4 linked regions of the Arabidopsis thaliana genome follow. The protein of the gene in region 4 interacts with the protein of the main gene of each other region in a biochemical or structural test. Each region holds a gene or a part of one and is shown on either strand. Other genes may lie near its edges. The genes, in order: JAZ10, JAZ11, JAZ5 and MYC2.

Region 1 (4,481 bases), on a different chromosome or scaffold from region 4:
TTTCAACTATAGGTTCAATTATATTCTTATGTAAGGGTACTAACTAGTGTGGGCTGTAAACGACTTAAAGTTTCGGCCATTTAGTTTTATGCAAGAAAAAAAATATAGATAATACAGTAATGATGAATCCACTATACATGTTAAATCCAATATAATAAATCCACTATACATTAGTGTTCTCATATTTCGTTTCAAGATTCGATTCAAAAAATTTGAAAATGTTAAATATGTGTTTCTGAGATTAAAGGCCAAAAGAAGGGTAAGGTCGTATATGAAAGGTGGACAGAGGGGCAAATTAGTCAGCTTGAAAAATACATCGACATTAAAAATCGGCAGCACTGACAAAACGTGTGATAACACAAATAAAAATAATCGGAAGAAAAAGAATAAATAAGGCGTATTGACTCTGGAACGTGAGAAGATGAAAGAGAGCGACGAAAACCTCTAAAGACTTATCGAGAAGTGCACCTTAGCCTAGTGAATAATGATATGTATTGACATTAACTACTACTACTACAGCTCCCAACACGTGAAAGACATGCATCTAACTCTTTCACTTTCGGTTGCCAAGAAAAAAAAAAAAAAAAAACTTTCACTTTCGGCATCAAATATATACTACTAAAAAAGTTTTTTATACGTAATTCTTTTTTAATATTTGATTAGTTCAGAATATTAATTAAAAAAATTACTTTTCGTAATCACTACATTTTGTAGTTATATGATTTTTAATTTAAAATAGTAAAAAGGAGAAATGTAACTAATTAAGCTAACATGCGCGCGATAGAATAAGGTGAAGTTTAAATTTGAGCACAAGATAGAAAATTGAGGTCAATTTAATTCGGAAGTGGTTCAAGGTATATTTTCACAAGAAAGAAAAACGTGAGTTCATTGAATCCCTCTATAACTTTACTTGAGAACAATGTAATAATATGTAAATCTGTTAGGAAACGAGCAGCCACATATGCTTTAAACAAGAGAACAAGAAAAAGAGCGGCCACATGTGAAAAAAAAACACCAGCCAAAATGTGAAACTAAGAAAAGAAAAGAAAAACCATCGACATCGTCCAAAGGATCGACCCGTCTTTTCTGGTTTGGCAGAAAACAAACTTCCAAGTTCCGACTTGACCTAGTCTTTATGCATCTGCAGTGGTGTTTTCTTTAAATCTTTTTTTGAATGGATTTGAAAATCTTATTTTTTCTTCTTCTTTCAAAACACTAACTGTGAATCACCACCAACATTTTATTGTTCTAAAATCCCTATTTGTATGTTTTATTGGTTACTTTCCCAAATATGATGAAAGTTTATTGGTGTACTTTAGTTTAGAAATGTAAGAAATTTCAGTTGTATTATTAGGTCAACCAAATATTATTCTTGAATAGTAATGTCAAATTTTGTTTATATTGAAAAATCAATAAGACTGATATCTACTAAATGTGATTTGCTATACTAGTAGAGCTAGTAGTAGCAAGATTAAAATTCATATTAAGAAAAAATGGAAAAGAAAAACATGTTTCGAGAAAAATATACAGATCAGAGACTAGAGTAGAAAACAAATATAATGTCAGAAGAACCCAATGTGACGAACAGTAACAGAAACATGTTACCAAATTTTTGAAGATATATTTTTATAAAACATTACAATGTTCATTGGACTTCCGTTATTTCCGGATATAAAATATCTTCTTTCTGCGTAGCAAGCAATTACATTACATTAGGTATATTAAGAATTTAAACATGTGTTTTGAATCATTAAATTAATTAGATAAGTAAGAGAAGAGGTTGGGAGCCTAATAAAAACAAAACAAAAAGGAAAAAGTGGATAGGTTGCCAATTGTGCCGAAAAGAAAGAGAAAGCATGAACCTCGTGCGTTAAATAAGTATCAGAGACATACTACATTTTAAAAACTCTCACATGAGAAATCAGAATCCGTTATTATTCCTCCATTTATTCATCTCAAAACCCATATCTCTCTGTCTTGATCTCTCTCTCACTTTCTAATAAGATCAAAGAAGATGTCGAAAGCTACCATAGAACTCGATTTCCTCGGACTTGAGAAGAAACAAACCAACAACGCTCCTAAGCCTAAGTTCCAGAAATTTCTCGATCGCCGTCGTAGTTTCCGAGGTTCGTTTGGTTTTTAGTCGCTCTCTCTTTTTTTTTTCTTGCGATAAATCGAATTTATTCATATGGAACTCCTGCAGATATTCAAGGTGCGATTTCGAAAATCGATCCGGAGATTATCAAATCGCTGTTAGCTTCCACTGGAAACAATTCCGATTCATCGGCTAAATCTCGTTCGGTTCCGTCTACTCCGAGGGAAGATCAGCCTCAGATCCCGATTTCTCCGGTCCACGCGTCTCTCGCCAGGTATTTTTGTCTTTCCGGTAAAGTTTTTTTTTTCTTTCTAACTTTTTTGGCGCTACCAGAAAAGACGAAAAAATTTGAAATTCAAATTTTCAAAACATTCATTTTCCTCAGGTCTAGTACCGAACTCGTTTCGGGAACTGTTCCTATGACGATTTTCTACAATGGAAGTGTTTCAGTTTTCCAAGTGTCTCGTAACAAAGCTGGTGAAATTATGAAGGTCGCTAATGAAGCAGCATCTAAGAAAGACGAGTCGTCGATGGAGACAGATCTTTCGGTAATTCTTCCGACCACTCTAAGACCAAAGCTCTTTGGCCAGAATCTAGAAGGAGGTTAGTATAATAAAAATAAAAATCACTTAGTGCTGGATTCTTCTAGAATTTTAGTTACATATTATTGCATGTAGAGATCTAAGAAGAGTTTGTTGTTAGAGAGGAATTGGTTGCTAATTAGTTTGGAATTAGATATCAAAGAGTTAAAGACTATAGTTTATGTCTATACGTATTAATATACGTTATTAATAAAAGTATAAACATGTTGTTTAATTTCTGATAAGAAACTGGTTTATGCGTGTGTATGCAGATCTTCCCATCGCAAGGAGAAAGTCACTGCAACGTTTTCTCGAGAAGCGCAAGGAGAGGTAATGATTCTTCAACAATCCAAGGATTTTTACCCCCAAATAATTAAAGAAAGGTTTTTATTTTTCTCTCTCTCGACCTTTTTTTTACTATAAGTTATTTAAGATAGTAATTATGGGTCCTGCCTCTTTTACTCTCACATACAACTTAAGATTCAACTAGTTTTGTTCAACAACGCACATGCTTATACGTAGATAGATAATGGAGATCAGTAGTAATATCGGTATACGTAGGTTACTATTGTAATGGAACTTTTAAAAAGCGCGTTGACTTTGAGTCTTTGACTCTAGTTCTGTTTGCTACACCGACAAGTTATATTTTTCAAAATGATGAGAAAACGAGGAGAAACACCGGAAAAAAATTTGAACTTTTACTTTTATCAGACCATACGGCCAAAGAAAGATCTGTATATTATATAAGTTATCACAAAACGCGGTTTCACATTTTCTTTTTCGTCTTGTTGTGTTTGCAGATTAGTATCAACATCTCCTTACTATCCGACATCGGCCTAAACGATCTCTTTTTAGATTGGGACATGGACCAAATTTGTCTTTTTCAATCGGAAGACATCCATGTTCGTTTTTGGATTTGGCTTATTTCCAATCTTCTTTTGAAGCCTTCTTCGTCGTTGCTAAATCGTATACTATTCACGACAAACGTTTTTAGGAGATTACGTTACCTACTAAGATTATATATATTGGTTTGTTTTTAAAAATGTCTATTATCTTTATTGTCATTGATAGCTTGATTTAAGAAGCTCTCTCTTATCCCGTGACCTTCTACTTTTGTTTTATTTTTTAGTATATGGTAAAGAAAATTATAACACGCCTCTTTTAGCTTCTCATGAAGCTTCCGTATCAGAGTATTATTAAAGGAAATGTGGCCATTCATCTTTGATTATATTGGTTGGTCTCTAGCTTGGGTTGTCCTAATTGTTATAATGGAAAACAGTTTAAGAAACACGTGAGTATTAGTTATATAATACTATCAAGTCTACCCGACTAATTGTGTCTTTATGTCAAAAGTCTTTTAACATGAGTTTGGTGGAATTTGTACATTGGAATGAAGATGAAAAGAAGTGGTAAAGTGAACGTACTTTGTGTGGCTTCTTTTAGACAATTACCCCTTTCATTGAATAGTATCCATCACTAGTACTAACAAAAAAGGGATGGCTGGTCCGGATTTAAGAAACAAAAACCACACAACCATTCACTGCGTCTTCTTTATCATTGAAACCAAGATACTGTAGCTTATTGATATGAAATAAATACCACCATGTGCATACGTGAGAGTTTTTTTATTACATGTAGTTTCTTAAAAATGTTTTCGTGTCTCTTTAAGTTGTGTCAAGTAAATTGCTTCTCATTTAATCTACTGCGATGACATAAACTTAGTTTGCACATTGCAATGGCTAATGAGAGTACTAAACTTACATCATGTTGTTTAAGCTTTGAAGATGGAATACCGTATATCAAGT
Region 2 (4,743 bases), on a different chromosome or scaffold from region 4:
GGATCTACTTTTCTTATCAGTGTATCTGATGTTTTTTTTTTTTTTTTTCTTTCAATAATCTCATAGATCCTCTATTGGAAATTTAGGTGTTTTTTTGCTTAAAGGTGTTTATTATCCAATTTGATCTTTTGAGTTTGCGATTTGCAGGAATCAATCCAAAGAGTTACATCTTAAGTTGCAGAAAAGAAAACAATTTCATTGCACACTAATATTGCTTTTAGCTGTAAATCTCTATTTTGATGTTCGATTGGTTTATGAACAATGAAACCTAGAAGAATCAAGCTTGCTTTTATAATCAATGATGATTTTTCTCACTGGAATCGATCTCAGATGGCGAATGATCTACAATTGAGGCTATTTGTCTAATTGATCTATGGACACGAGTGTTTTCCTTTTTGTTTTTAGGTGTTGCTGAAAAGCTCCATCGGCTTAATATCTACGTTGATGTTCTTTGGAGTTCGGGAGTCATTGCCCTTGTGAAGATCTTTTCTTTACAGATTTGATGATGTAGTTGGTAGGATTCTCTAGTTAAAAACCTGTGGACTTATTTCTTGAAGCTCTGACGGTTTTCGGTAGTTTTGGAGTTCCCTTACGCTTCGTACCATATCGGCTATGAGCGGCGAACGGCGACAACATCTACTTCAACTTTACTTCATAGGCTCACACATGGTTTTGTGTTGGATTTGTTATATTTCTTAGTTCCTTAAAGGGGTATCTTTATGGATTGGACTTTTTAAGTTGGGTCTCCGCTTATAAGCTGAATTGTTGGTGAAGTGGAAGCTTCCACTGTTGTACCTTTTACGACATAGAGTTTTAAATAGAAGAGAAAATTCCCAAAAAAAACTTCAACTATTAAAATTTGCCAAAAAAACCTCAACTTTTTCGGTTGTCAAAAAACTCAAACTAATTTATTAGTGACAAATAAAACCCAAACTAGAAATATTGGCAGATTATACATACGCTCTAAAAACAAATTATAGTTTTATCCTTAAAAAATTAATTCTTTTTTTTTTGAAACGAAAAGAAATTTCTTATTTACTTTGTATTTTTTTAGTTTATACGTTTTTGCCTTTTTGGAAATTATCATAGAAAAATGATATGAGTGTCTCATTTTTAATTCTCTTTTCATATATTTTTACTTTTTAGATTTTCAAACTTTAAAAACCAAATCGTTTCTCTATTTCTTTTTTTTTTGCTTATTTCTTTCTAATTTTTGGTTCCTCAATATCAAAATGATTCAATGTTCTTCGACTAATTTACATATTTTGATTTTTTCATCATAATTATATAGTTAGCTTTGTGTTAATATATCTTATTTAATTTATTTTAGCAATACGATAACGGCGGTATGCATGTACTAAAAAGGATGCGTAAAGAGTATTAAGTTTTTCACATCGAACAAAATTGTCCACTATTTTATTTTTTTAAATAGTTGTCTATATTACAAGAACAAATGAAAATAAATAGGTATTATTAGATAAGTAGTTTTTTTTTTTGGTAAGGCATTATTACTTATTAGATAAGTAGTTAGATATATAAAATAATCAAATAGTTGAGGTTTTTTTGGAATATTTCTGAGAAAAACAAAAAGAAAACAAAATTGATTGAATAATGAATACACCGAATAACGAACGTTGCGTAGAGAAGAGAACCAATTCCCAATCAAACGGAGAAGACAGATATTATTCACAGAGAGGCTCATGGCTGAGGTAAACGGAGATTTCCCCGTTCCTAGTTTCGCCGACGGGACCGGTTCTGTTTCCGCCGGACTTGACTTGCTCGTTGAGAGATCGATTCACGAAGCTAGGTATGTATCACTAGTAACTGGAATCAATTTGAATCGTTAATTCTCATTTCTCTTTATCTGTCTTTGTGTTTGAAGTTTTTTCTTAGCCTATAGTTCTGTGATTTGTTAGTTCTTAGTACACTATAGGAGCGTGAGCAATTGACGAGACTTGGATCTATATGAATTGTTAAATTAGCAGATCAATTTGGGAAACTCAAGAGGTTTAATTTCAAACTCTTGTTTCAAGGTCCACAGAGCCAGATGCTTCAACTCAACTTACTATTATCTTTGGTGGGAGTTGTAGAGTCTTCAATGGTGTCCCTGCACAAAAGGTTTGGTCCATCTAGCTTTGAGTACATACATTCTGATTTTGTTTATGTTGGTTGCATCAGAGTTTCTAATTGTATTGGTGATCAATGCTTAATAGGTTCAAGAAATCATTCGCATCGCTTTTGCTGGTAAACAGACGAAGAATGTGACCGGTATCAATCCAGCACTGAACAGAGCTCTTTCTTTCTCAACTGTAGCTGGTAAGCAATTGCTTCATTCGGTTACTGTAAGCATTATCTACGGAGTTACGGACTATTAATCCCTGTTTGTCTCAGATCTTCCAATTGCTAGGAGACGTTCGCTTCAAAGATTTCTCGAGAAGAGACGGGACAGGTAGTTAGATATTCAGTGTTTGCTTTATTAACATATTGATAGTTCTGGAAGTGTTAGTGTGTATGAATCTGATTTGTTAGTATGTATTAGTTTGTGACGTCAAATATTGTTCTTGCATTTAGGAATTTTCATGTGTAGGTAGGTTGTTGAAGCTTAAGCAAATGAAGAGACTGGATCTATGTGAATGTTAATTTGTATACATTGACTGGTTTCGGAAACTGAGATAGTCTTTTAGTTTTTTTTCTTACAAGTGTTTAAGCTTTTATTCTCATGTATTATTCTACTTCTATATCATATTTGGCTGACTTATGGCCACCAGATAATTGTGTATTTCTTAGTGATCATGCCTCACAAATACATTAGATGTTGTTGCCCATTCTTTAGTATCGGTTTTATGAGCTTGAATTTGAACTAGGCTTGTGTGTTTGATTTTGGTACCGTTGAATGCAAAAATAGCCTTCTATCTACTGTTAGATGACATCATCAGATGATTTAAATTTAGTAGGTTGTTTGAACTGATGTATTGATGGGACTGAGGTTAGTTGATAGCCTAAGCGGCTGTAATATTGTAGTGGAATCACTATTTTGTTCTTCTCCCTTTTGCATCAATAGGGTCTTAAAATTTGGGTGGATTATTATTATCTTCCATCATTCATAACTAGCTCTTGTTTCTTCTATTGAAGGTCCACGAAGCCAGATGGTTCAATGATCCTTCCAAGTCAACTAACCATTATTTTTGGTGGGAGTTTTAGCGTATTTGATGGTATTCCAGCTGAAAAGGTTTGGTCCATCCAAGTTTTGAGTACATTCGTATTTCGTTTTTGTTGGGAAGCAGTTGCATGAGATTTCTTGTTCTCTTGGTGATCACACTTAATAGGTTCAAGAAATTCTGCATATCGCTGCTGCAGCTAAAGCCACTGAGACAATTAATTTGACCAGTATAAATCCAGCATTAAAGAGAGCTATTTCATTCTCAAACGCATCAACAGTAGCTTGCGTATCGACAGCAGGTAAGGACTTGCTACATTGGATTACCGTAAACGTTATATAGTCCGAGTATGGAAAACCCCATGAGCTTTATGTAAGATGCATGTTTATCTCAGATGTGCCAATTGCTAGGAGACGTTCACTTCAAAGATTTTTTGAGAAAAGACGGCATCGGTAGGCATATCTGCAGTGCTTGTTTTATAAACATATACTCTCATCTTTCTCCATCACTCACCTATGAGTTTGACCATTAGATTTCATCTAATAGTAACTTGGACCCTCTTTATTTTCAGATTTGTCCACACGAAGCCTTACTCTGCTACGACTTCGGAAGCAGACAAAAATGAAACCAGCCCCATTGTGACATGAGCTCCAAGACTGTAAGCTAACCTCAAACCTTACTTTCGAAGCAACTCAGTATCACAGTTATCTTTGACAAGATTAACACAGCTCATATATAAGCCTTCCGTTGTTGTACGATAATCATCTGCCTATGTTTCTTAGACAAAACACAAAATTGTTTTCCATGTTTGTGATTTGATGTGTTTATCATCTCGCACCTCCTCTTTGAGGAAGATGATTTCTTTTTCTTCACAATGTATGTTGATGCTGTATGATAAGGTCTCAGAGCTATATAAGAACACAAGAGTACTCAAAAATGACCATGAAAGACTTAGTGTCCTTATAAGCAAATCACGACCAAGAAACATACAGAGAAATCATCAAATACTAACCGGAGAGATTAGTAGGGACCTCAGATCAAAATTTTCAGGTCTGGTTAGGCATGTGATTATTACCAGAACCAAAATTTTCAAACCAAGCCAATCCAGTTTTTGGTCATTTCAATTTAGGGTCGGTCACTAAAAGTGAACAGGTCGGCATAATTTTTTAGTACATATATTTAACATGTGCCCAAGTTATGACAAACGATGAAACATAACATATTTATTATAAATGATTTATACATCATAACTCATAAAAACATCAAAATTATGAAATATTTTGGTAGCGCTACCATAACCACTCAATCATCCGACTGAAATCATCAAAATAAAAAAATATTTTCTAACTTTTTTTATATTTACATAAATATATCTACAAAATGATCCCGTATAAACTTGTAATAAATTATATATGTGCATTTTTCAAGACCAAATCTCTAAGATCAAAGACTAATGCTACCACATCATTCAACGAAACAATGCAAATAAATTTTGGGATAACTTTAACTTTGATCATCTTTTAAAGTATTTAAGGATTTTACATACAAATTTGTAATTTAAAGGGTTCACAAACGGCAACAAAAA
Region 3 (4,734 bases), 5.8 Mb from region 4:
GGGGTGGAAATGGCGTTACGGTAACATCTTTGGCGAGAACAAGAAGTGTCGGGATCGGGTTCGTTTTATTAAGGATCGTGCGTTGGATGTTTGGAAGGCGCATGTGCACAAAATGGGAGTGACGACGCGGACAGCTAGGGAGGAGAGATTGATTGCGTGGTCTCCGCCAAGGGTGGGTTGGTTTAAGCTCAATACTGATGGTGCTTCGCGTGGTAACCCGAGACTAGCTACAGCAGGTGGAGTAGTTCGAGACGGGGATGGAAATTGGTGTTATGGGTTTTCGTTGAATATTGGAATTTGTTCGGCTCCGCTTGCGGAACTATGGGGAGCATATTACGGTTTAAATATCGCTTGGGAGCGCGGTGTCACACAGTTGGAGATGGAGATTGATTCGGAGATGGTAGTGGGTTTTCTTCGGACAGGGATTGATGATTCGCATCCGCTGTCCTTCCTGGTGCGGTTGTGCCATGGCTTACTTTCAAAGGACTGGTCAGTCCGGATTTCGCATGTGTATAGAGAAGCTAATCGTCTCGCGGATGGGTTAGCTAACTATGCTTTTTTTTTACCGTTAGGTTTTCATTTGTTTAATTCTACTCCGGATATTGTTATGTCGATTGTTCACGATGATGTAGCGGGGTCTGCGTACCCCCGGAACGTTCAAGTGTAATTTTTTTAGTTTTTTCAGTTTTAATAAAAATGGGGGTTCGCCCCCCTCTTCTACAAAAAAAAATATCACTTTCAAAAGGACCCATTCGCTACCCAATTTTTCTAAACCCCAGAACGTTTTTTTTTTTTCCAAAACACAACAGCCACTTGGTCTTTGCAACAATGCAAGTAGTGTAGTGGCGTAGCTAGGGGTAACGAGTTACCAAACCGGTTTGACAATCTGGTTCGATCAATTGGCCGATCACTCGGTTTGCTCTAATCTTGCTTCATTTAGTCCCATCAACAACACTTATTAAACTAAGTCACATCTAAACTTTTTATATCTTTGGTATCATTTTCCCCGAACACGTTTTTTTGAACGAGTCGTAGTTTTGAAGCAACCAACGAACGTATTGATTATTATGGGCATCCGTGAAAGGGGCAGTTCGGTCAATTGATCCATCAATTTTATTTTTGACCAAACTGATTAGGTGATCTTAAGATTTTTCCTTTTTTCTTTCTATAGGAAAGTGGGAAAAACGCGATTCACACGATACTGTTGCTAGTGCGTCGTACAGATTGCGATACGTGTCACAATCTTGACGGTCTGTTCTATTTAAACCACGTGTTTTAATCAAAAAACTTCTGTCGGATCGTATCGGAGACTTTGAATTTTTATGGCACATGAAACTTCGTAGGGGTTTGATGGTAGGATCCCACATTGGTCCACTTACTATTCAATTCGCACCGCCGTTAAGTTTGTTAACTAACGTGAGGAACGTCGCGGTGATGTAAAAAAAGGCCATGAAAGTTGTTTCTATTACGATGATGCCATCACTGGAGTTGGTAATGTGCTCTTGTGGAAGGGCAAATTTTGTAAATACGATCAAATTTCGAGTCTTTTACGAATTTGTGACATACGCCGTTTAATAACGTTTGCCGTCGGTTCTGAAATCTTTATTCTTTTTCTCTTTTATCGTTACGCGTAAGGAAAACGTGCGGTAAATTCTAACCGAAAATATATATAAAAAAGTAGTCCAATTTTGAAATCTGGCCGTTGATGGTAGACAACTAAACTGTGCCAAACAAGAAACAAGAGGTGAACATATTTTTATGATAAGACAGGGCAATAAATTTGTTGTACCAACTCATAAAACAATAGATAAATTACTTGCACAATGATGGATTATTAACATTAATTTTCTTACTATTAATCATGGATGAAAATTCCTTTCTTCACACTAGATATAGTTCTTTAACTAGTTAAAAATGCATGCGATGGAATATTACTAAATATGATATAATCTCATGGCTTTATGTAAGATTTGTTTTTTGGTTTTTTTGGTTGTTGTTAATAAATTTATTATTGAGAAGTTTAATTCTATTTTGGTCACAATATATTGAAATATTTTTAAGAAACTAAAAAGTTCCTATTTATTTTTGTTTTCATTAATTTATGAGAGGCTATTAAAGTCACAGAAACTTATTGGGTGAATGAGTTTATAAACACATGAGCTATTGAGCTAGTAGCCTCTTGTACTCTTCCATTTTACGCGCAATCCACGCACCAACAAAAAGAAAAGAAAAGAAGAGATAAAGAATATCTTTAAAAAGTAAGTGTGGAGAATTCTTTCTTCTCAATAAACAACAACATGTCGTCGAGCAATGAAAATGCTAAGGCACAAGCGCCGGAGAAATCTGACTTTACCCGGAGATGTAGTTTGCTCAGCCGTTACTTGAAGGAGAAGGGTAGTTTCGGAAACATTGATCTTGGCTTATACCGAAAACCCGATTCCAGTCTCGCGTTGCCCGGAAAATTCGATCCACCAGGTACTTTTATTATCTCTTTCTTCTTTCATGGCCGCCACTTGGTAATAGTACTTTAAAAACTCAGTTCTGTTACTACTTGCTTTTGCCAGATTTACTACTTTTGTATTGTTTCTTCATTTGTAAGTCAGTTCCTTACTTCAGAAATAATTTCTCCTTGTAATTATGAAGACAAGTAACAAAAATAACGAATAAGTTGATATAGAAATTGATTGAGATGTGGTTAATAAAATTCCAAAGATATAAGATGCTATATCATTTTTCTAAAGTTATTATAGTTCACGAAAGTTTTTATTCTCTTTATGCAGGGAAACAAAATGCGATGCATAAGGCAGGGCATTCCAAAGGCGAACCCTCTACCTCATCAGGAGGCAAAGTCAAAGATGTTGCTGACCTCAGGTCTCTCCTTTTGTTCCTTGGGAATACTTGTTGTTTTTGGTTATTGGAGATTAGAGAAAAGGATAATCGGTTAATCCGGTTAAAATTGGTTTTGTTCTGAAATCTGTTTTTGGTTTGCAGTGAATCACAGCCAGGAAGTTCGCAGCTGACCATATTCTTCGGAGGGAAAGTTTTAGTATATAATGAGTTCCCCGTAGACAAAGCTAAAGAGATTATGGAAGTAGCAAAACAAGCCAAGCCTGTGACTGAGATTAACATTCAGACACCAATCAATGACGAAAACAACAACAACAAGAGCAGCATGGTTCTTCCTGATCTCAATGAGCCTACTGATAATAATCACCTAACAAAGGAACAACAACAGCAACAAGAACAAAATCAGATCGTGGAACGTATAGCACGTAGAGCTTCCCTCCATCGATTCTTTGCTAAACGGAAAGACAGGTATTTAACCTTATCATACTTTTTGAAACTTGTTTTAATGTTCCAAATTTCCAATCACTCTAGTTAGTTCAAAACTCAAAAGTTTAAGGATCCTCCCTCTGATATAAGTTCTCCTAAATTATCCTCAACAAGCCTCGTAATTTACGTTATTAATTTTTCTGTTGCAGAGCTGTGGCTAGGGCTCCGTACCAAGTTAACCAAAACGCAGGTCATCATCGTTATCCTCCCAAGCCAGAGATTGTAACCGGTCAACCACTAGAGGCAGGACAGTCGTCACAAAGACCGCCGGATAACGCCATTGGTCAAACCATGGCCCATATCAAATCAGACGGTGATAAAGATGATATTATGAAGATTGAAGAAGGCCAAAGTTCGAAAGATCTCGATCTAAGGCTATAGTAATATTTGCTAAATTTCTTGTAGGAACTGAGTTTTTAGATTAACGTTTCGATTTTTCTGACTTATCTAAGTGATTTTATTTTGCTTTGTACTACAGTATGTAATCTTATTCTAACTTGAATATTCATTCATAAACACAATAGACGATAGTAAAGTTATATTATAATTAGTTAACTACGTACAACACTTGGGAGTTAAATTACATAACGTTAAGCGAGAAATAGCAAATTAGACAAGAGGAAGAATATTTAGGAGTTGTGAATTGATCTGACTGCAATAACATGAAGAGGAATCTGACTGCAATCGTAATGCGGGTAAAGATGGTTGAAAGTGATCAGAGCTCCTTTCTAATTTATTTAGGGTGTAATTTATGAAAATGATTATTATTGGAGTGTATATCAAGTTTTCACTAAACTCAGGGGTGTTTATTGTAATTAGTTGTCAGGTTCAAGTTCATTGAAGGCGTGTCTGATTTGGACAGTGATTGGGCCTGAGCCATAAGTTTAACGTGGGACGAGTTCATTGGCTGTTGCTTTTTAAATTTTCTTACAGCCTGTGACTTTAGCTAATCGATGTGTAAAAATAATAAATCCAATAAAATTCGTAAGAGCCACTCGATTGCTTCCTTCGCTTTCTATCAAGAGACTTCCTTTTTTTTTTCCTGTTCTTCATTTTTTTTTTGTTATTAATATTTTGTCATTTTTCTTACATTTTTCTCGAACACCGAAAACACTTTCGAACCCTAAAAGACAGAACACTGTGTCAATTTTCATTACCTGGGAACGAAAAGCAAAATCAAAGACAATAATTTTTTCCCCGAGAGAGAAAATGCAGAGGTTGAAGCAGCAGCAGCAGCAGCAACAAGTTATGATGCAGCAAGCTCTTATGCAGCAACAGTCTCTCTACCATCCTGGTCTCCTTGCCCCGCCACAGGTTTGCTCTATTCTTCTTCCATTTCCATGCTCGATTTGGGTTTCTAGGCTCTTTTTCCCAAGCTCGATTTCACTGGTTTTTCTCTCT
Region 4 (5,467 bases):
TTCTACAAGGTCATCCTAGTCACTTATTAACCTAACATATGTAACACATTGTATAAGCTATTCGAGCATGCCAAATCAATCAAGATCATTATATCATGTTCGACGATCTATCGAAAGTGTACACCAATTGATGATTCTCTATTTCTCTAAATCTAAGAATAACTCGAATTGGTCACATACAAATTTGGATCAGGTAACAGATATATTTTTATTTCATGCAGTTAGGAAATAACATATGGGAAATTTATATCTTACGTTCCACATTGTTCCCGAATCCCGACTAATGTCCCTCTCTTTCAACAAGGTGATAGTAAGATCTTCATTTAATCAACCCGACTCTCTACTTAAAAAATTTCAACCATTTTCTCTAAGAAGTCAGAACACTCCATCATCCCCATTCTAAGCTCAACATAACAACATAACAAGAAAACTGTCATCTTTGTTATCTCATTTCTCGAAGTAAGGGGGGAAATCTCTATATTTATCCCACTAATTATTCATTACTTAGTGGGATATTGTTGTTTTCTAGTGGCGTCACCCCCAAAGTCGACATGAAATATGATATCACGAATCACCTAGCCAAAACTTAGTGTAACATCTTCTCATAATTTTCTTATAGTAAACATGTTCAAAAGTCGACTCACAACCACCAGACAATGGTTTGGTTGTTTTCTGTTTGTTGAATCGTTCATTGACGAGTTCACCCAATACAGATGTCTCAGAAAATTATATTCAAAAGTTATTTTGGTTGTTATTTACAAAAAATGGTATACTAGATCCCAAAATTATTTTACTATTTATTGTTGGTAAAATACTCTTTAGTTTAATATGGTTTTAATAAGAAAAATCAACCGGAGTATCATTAATCTGAACGTATAAAGACATATCATTGAGTTTATCACAAGACAACGTAAATCTACAAGAACACAATAACATAAGTTTAGTGTTTTGTTAGTAAGAATTTGTCTTCGCAAGATAGAATTTTAGAAGTATATATATATATATATATATATACTATTTTATCTTAATTCTTTTTGTTTTATTTTTGGTTTTTAGGTAAGGGTTAGGAGTAATGGGACCATATTGGTGGCATGCTAAATTATTGTGATAAATTTATGCATGGAGGAAAAGATGCCAAATGATTTATGTTATTCACTCATACTCACCTAATGACCTAATCCTTGAATTATTGTTCGAACTTTAAAAATAAAATTTTAATATTGTAAATTAAACAAACAATATAACGTTGTTAGCATGTGTTTATCGTGAAATGTGAATGTAACTAAAAATATTATAAAGGAGTTCTTCCTTTCTTAAAGCATATGCTAATAATAGCGTTTGGTCAAATTAATAAATTATTAGTTTATTTAGTCGTCAACAAATTAATTAGTTAAGCAGACAAGAATCGTTTTTGGAGATAGAGATTCTCACTTGCATTTCACTCTCTTGCAATTTAACATATTAAGACAAACACAAATTTTTGCTTTAGTGAATTATTAGCAACGACTCACGTTATATAGATATGCAAATCTCAAAATTAATTAAGCTAAGACACAGTATTTGATAATTGAGATTACAAATCTTAAATTTTGATTTTTAATATTTTAAAATAACATTATAAAATAAGTAATTAATCTGTTATAAAAAATATATTCTAAAAGTTGACAAAACGACAAATATAAATCGAAAAAATAGGTGAAAAGTTATAGTAAAGTGTTTTTCCACTGAGCTCACAGTTCACTCTTTGGTACAAAAGAAACAATCAGTTAAAATCTAAGTCAATCATTAAAGAGCGTGTGATACACGTGCGACCAAACAGCCGTACGATCTCACTCACTTCCGGTCTTAATTCTTACCGCGTCGATCCAACAGTCGATGGGGTTAAATCGGGATGTGAGTTCATCGAAGCTTCTCTCTCTCTTACAACCATCCACGTTTCCCAATGAAATCTCGCCACGTAATATCCCTAACAACAAATTTACACATTCACCCTCAAGATCAGTTACACATATAATAATCGCAGACGCTCTCCATTTTTCTCCACTACGAAGACTTTCTCCTATCTCTCTCTCTCTCATTAAAAACGTGTTTTTTTTTACCGGTCACCGGTTTATGGAATGACTGATTACCGGCTACAACCAACGATGAATCTTTGGACCACCGACGACAACGCTTCTATGATGGAAGCTTTCATGAGCTCTTCCGATATCTCAACTTTATGGCCTCCGGCGTCGACGACAACCACGACGGCGACGACTGAAACAACTCCGACGCCGGCGATGGAGATTCCGGCACAGGCGGGATTTAATCAAGAGACTCTTCAGCAACGTTTACAAGCTTTGATTGAAGGAACACACGAAGGTTGGACCTACGCTATATTCTGGCAACCGTCGTATGATTTCTCCGGCGCCTCCGTGCTCGGATGGGGAGATGGTTATTACAAAGGTGAAGAAGATAAAGCAAACCCGAGACGGAGATCGAGTTCGCCGCCGTTTTCTACTCCGGCGGATCAGGAGTACAGGAAAAAAGTGTTGAGAGAGCTTAACTCGTTGATCTCCGGTGGTGTTGCTCCGTCGGATGACGCTGTTGATGAGGAGGTGACGGATACGGAATGGTTTTTCTTGGTTTCGATGACGCAGAGCTTCGCTTGCGGTGCGGGATTAGCTGGTAAAGCGTTTGCAACGGGTAACGCGGTTTGGGTTTCCGGGTCAGATCAATTATCCGGGTCGGGTTGTGAACGGGCTAAGCAAGGAGGAGTGTTTGGGATGCATACTATTGCGTGTATTCCTTCGGCGAACGGAGTTGTGGAAGTCGGGTCAACGGAGCCGATCCGACAGAGTTCGGACCTTATTAACAAGGTTCGAATTCTTTTCAATTTCGACGGCGGAGCTGGAGATTTATCGGGTCTTAATTGGAATCTTGACCCGGATCAAGGTGAGAACGACCCGTCTATGTGGATTAATGACCCGATTGGAACACCTGGATCTAACGAACCGGGTAACGGAGCTCCAAGTTCTAGCTCCCAGCTTTTTTCAAAGTCTATTCAGTTTGAGAACGGTAGCTCAAGCACAATAACCGAAAACCCGAATCTGGATCCGACTCCGAGTCCGGTTCATTCTCAGACCCAGAATCCGAAATTCAATAACACTTTCTCCCGAGAACTTAATTTTTCGACGTCAAGTTCTACTTTAGTGAAACCAAGATCCGGCGAGATATTAAACTTCGGCGATGAAGGTAAACGAAGCTCCGGAAACCCGGATCCAAGTTCTTATTCGGGTCAAACACAATTCGAAAACAAAAGAAAGAGGTCGATGGTTTTGAACGAAGATAAAGTTCTATCATTCGGAGATAAAACCGCCGGAGAATCAGATCACTCCGATCTAGAAGCTTCCGTCGTGAAAGAAGTAGCAGTAGAGAAACGTCCAAAGAAACGAGGAAGAAAGCCAGCAAACGGTAGAGAAGAGCCACTAAACCACGTCGAAGCAGAGAGACAAAGACGCGAGAAACTAAACCAAAGATTCTACGCGTTACGAGCGGTTGTACCAAACGTTTCAAAAATGGATAAAGCTTCGTTACTCGGTGACGCAATCGCTTACATCAACGAGCTTAAATCCAAAGTAGTCAAAACAGAGTCAGAGAAACTCCAAATCAAGAACCAGCTCGAGGAAGTGAAACTCGAGCTCGCCGGAAGAAAAGCGAGTGCTAGTGGAGGAGATATGTCGTCTTCGTGTTCTTCGATTAAACCGGTGGGGATGGAGATTGAAGTGAAGATAATTGGTTGGGACGCAATGATTAGAGTTGAATCTAGTAAGAGGAATCATCCGGCGGCGAGGTTGATGTCGGCGTTGATGGATTTGGAGTTGGAAGTGAATCACGCGAGTATGTCGGTGGTTAACGATTTGATGATTCAACAAGCGACGGTGAAGATGGGTTTTAGGATCTATACGCAAGAACAGCTCAGAGCAAGTTTGATTTCAAAAATCGGTTAAAAGGGTGTGTTTTGGGAAGTTTAGAAAGTTATGGGGTCAAATCATAATTAATTCGTTTTAGTGGCTTCAGTAATTTTGTAGATTTTAGTTTTGTAAGAAAAAAATCTTAAAATAGAGCGACAAGTTTCTTCTTTTGCTCTATGTTTGAGTCTGTATCGTTTTATTGTTGTATCTCCTCAATGAGTAAACTTGTATATATTGATATGAGTAATATGAGTTAGTTACTGAAAAAGTTAATATTTCTACACAATTTCATATGATAAAAAAGAAAAAGAAATCGAGTATAAATGGTCTAAAATAAGAGACTAATGGTCATGATCACTGATTTTGTACATATGGTCAAAAATGTCTCTCCTAACACATCAAACTTAGGAAGAGAGACAAATCTTAAGTAAGTTAAGTCGAGAGGGAGACCATATGCACAGTTTTCTTAAGTCAGTGTGATAATGTTTCCTCTTGTCTAATCAATAAGACACAACACACATAAACCTTAGTATAATACTACATGGATCTTCGAATACACAGACAGAGTCACAGACAAGAAAAAGCAAATCACTTGCTTTTGTCTTGATCATTTCCAATATCTACAAAAATAGAAATCTTGAAGAGATTATTGAATCTGAAATCTGCTTTGTTTGTGCATTCTCTTCCTCGATCACCTCGCAAGATCCTCTAGCAACCTGACCAATCCTCAAGAATCAAGTTTTCTTCTTTCTAGCTTCAGCTTTCCAATCTCGACGATGCGGCCTTATCTTCCGTTTAACCGACTCACAAGAACTATCTTGAGCCTTGTTCATAATCAAATGAGCTCTTCTAGCTTCTTTTTTCCAATTTCTATCGCAATAAACCCGCCGCACAAAGTTCTCAACATAACCACTAGGTCCATTAAACTCTAGTCCCTCGTCTTCTTCTTCTTCTTCTTCTTGTTTTCCCATTGTCTCAAACGAAAGATTATCATCGTTACCCGCTTCTTCTTCCCGCATCCGTTTCCTGGCTCGATACCTACGTTGTCTTTCTCTGTTCTTCATTCGACGGATCATGACTTCATCTTTGTCTATCAACCCTTCTTTCTCATCAATGCTCAAACCACCATTGCTCATCTTTCCTTCAATTCCAATTACTCAAAACACTGATAAAACAAACCAAATTCTATTATAAGGTAATGCATTTAAAGGAAAGAATCTAAAGCTCTATAAAACCCTAGAAGCTTCTTAATTCAAAAGCTGAAGACACAAAACACACACAAATGTAATTTTGCAACTAGAGGAGGACCAAATTAGAGATTCGTTAATAGCAATCAACCAGAAATGTAAGACTTCCAAAGAATCAAAATTAGCTAATCGATACAACTAAAAATGTTATTTTGCTTTGCTTTCAAGTTGAGAAAACAGAGAAGTTCGATACTCAAAGAACCTGAATGATTAATTCGATGATTAGGTTAAGAGGCTAAAACCCATATATTACCAATCTCAGTGATT

Evidence for each region.
Region 1: the proteins of MYC2 (region 4) and JAZ10 form a complex in vitro, tested with the Arabidopsis thaliana proteins (2 studies listed by BioGRID).
Region 2: the proteins of MYC2 (region 4) and JAZ11 form a complex in vitro, tested with the Arabidopsis thaliana proteins (one study listed by BioGRID).
Region 3: the proteins of MYC2 (region 4) and JAZ5 form a complex in vitro, tested with the Arabidopsis thaliana proteins (one study listed by BioGRID).

What each region holds. Positions count from the first base shown.
Region 1 is NC_003076.8:4,216,987-4,221,467, forward strand, and holds JAZ10 (jasmonate-zim-domain protein 10), read left to right. Parts: upstream 1-1,841; 5' UTR 1,842-2,014; coding exon 2,015-2,126; intron 2,127-2,203; coding exon 2,204-2,698; coding exon of another isoform or gene 2,699-2,703; exon of another isoform or gene 2,704-2,948; coding exon 2,949-3,010; coding exon of another isoform or gene 3,011-3,053; 3' UTR 3,054-3,476; coding exon of another isoform or gene 3,477-3,516; 3' UTR 3,517-3,927; downstream 3,928-4,481. UniProt on the Arabidopsis thaliana protein: Repressor of jasmonate (JA) responses. Interacts with and suppresses RHD6 and RSL1 transcription factor activities to negatively regulate jasmonate-stimulated root hair development.
Region 2 is NC_003074.8:15,365,970-15,370,712, forward strand, and holds JAZ11 (jasmonate-zim-domain protein 11), read left to right. Parts: upstream 1-1,576; 5' UTR 1,577-1,700; coding exon 1,701-1,807; intron 1,808-2,033; coding exon 2,034-2,118; intron 2,119-2,213; coding exon 2,214-2,316; intron 2,317-2,391; coding exon 2,392-2,449; intron 2,450-3,132; coding exon 3,133-3,229; intron 3,230-3,326; coding exon 3,327-3,459; intron 3,460-3,552; coding exon 3,553-3,610; intron 3,611-3,729; coding exon 3,730-3,805; 3' UTR 3,806-4,188; downstream 4,189-4,743. UniProt on the Arabidopsis thaliana protein: Repressor of jasmonate (JA) responses. Targets MYC2, MYC3 and MYC4 that are JA-dependent transcription activators.
Region 3 is NC_003070.9:5,954,634-5,959,367, reverse strand, and holds JAZ5 (jasmonate-zim-domain protein 5), read left to right. Parts: upstream 1-1,856; 5' UTR 1,857-2,297; coding exon 2,298-2,475; exon of another isoform or gene 2,476-2,689; coding exon of another isoform or gene 2,690-2,780; coding exon 2,781-2,871; intron 2,872-2,991; coding exon 2,992-3,315; coding exon of another isoform or gene 3,316-3,382; exon of another isoform or gene 3,383-3,482; coding exon 3,483-3,714; 3' UTR 3,715-4,213; downstream 4,214-4,734. Other genes in the region: UBP1B (oligouridylate binding protein 1B), read left to right, coding at 4,543-4,647. UniProt on the Arabidopsis thaliana protein: Repressor of jasmonate responses.
Region 4 is NC_003070.9:11,797,564-11,803,030, reverse strand, and holds MYC2 (Basic helix-loop-helix (bHLH) DNA-binding family protein), read left to right. Parts: upstream 1-1,623; 5' UTR 1,624-2,117; coding exon 2,118-3,989; 3' UTR 3,990-4,687; downstream 4,688-5,467. Other genes in the region: AT1G32630 (FAM50A-like protein), read right to left, coding at 4,688-5,089.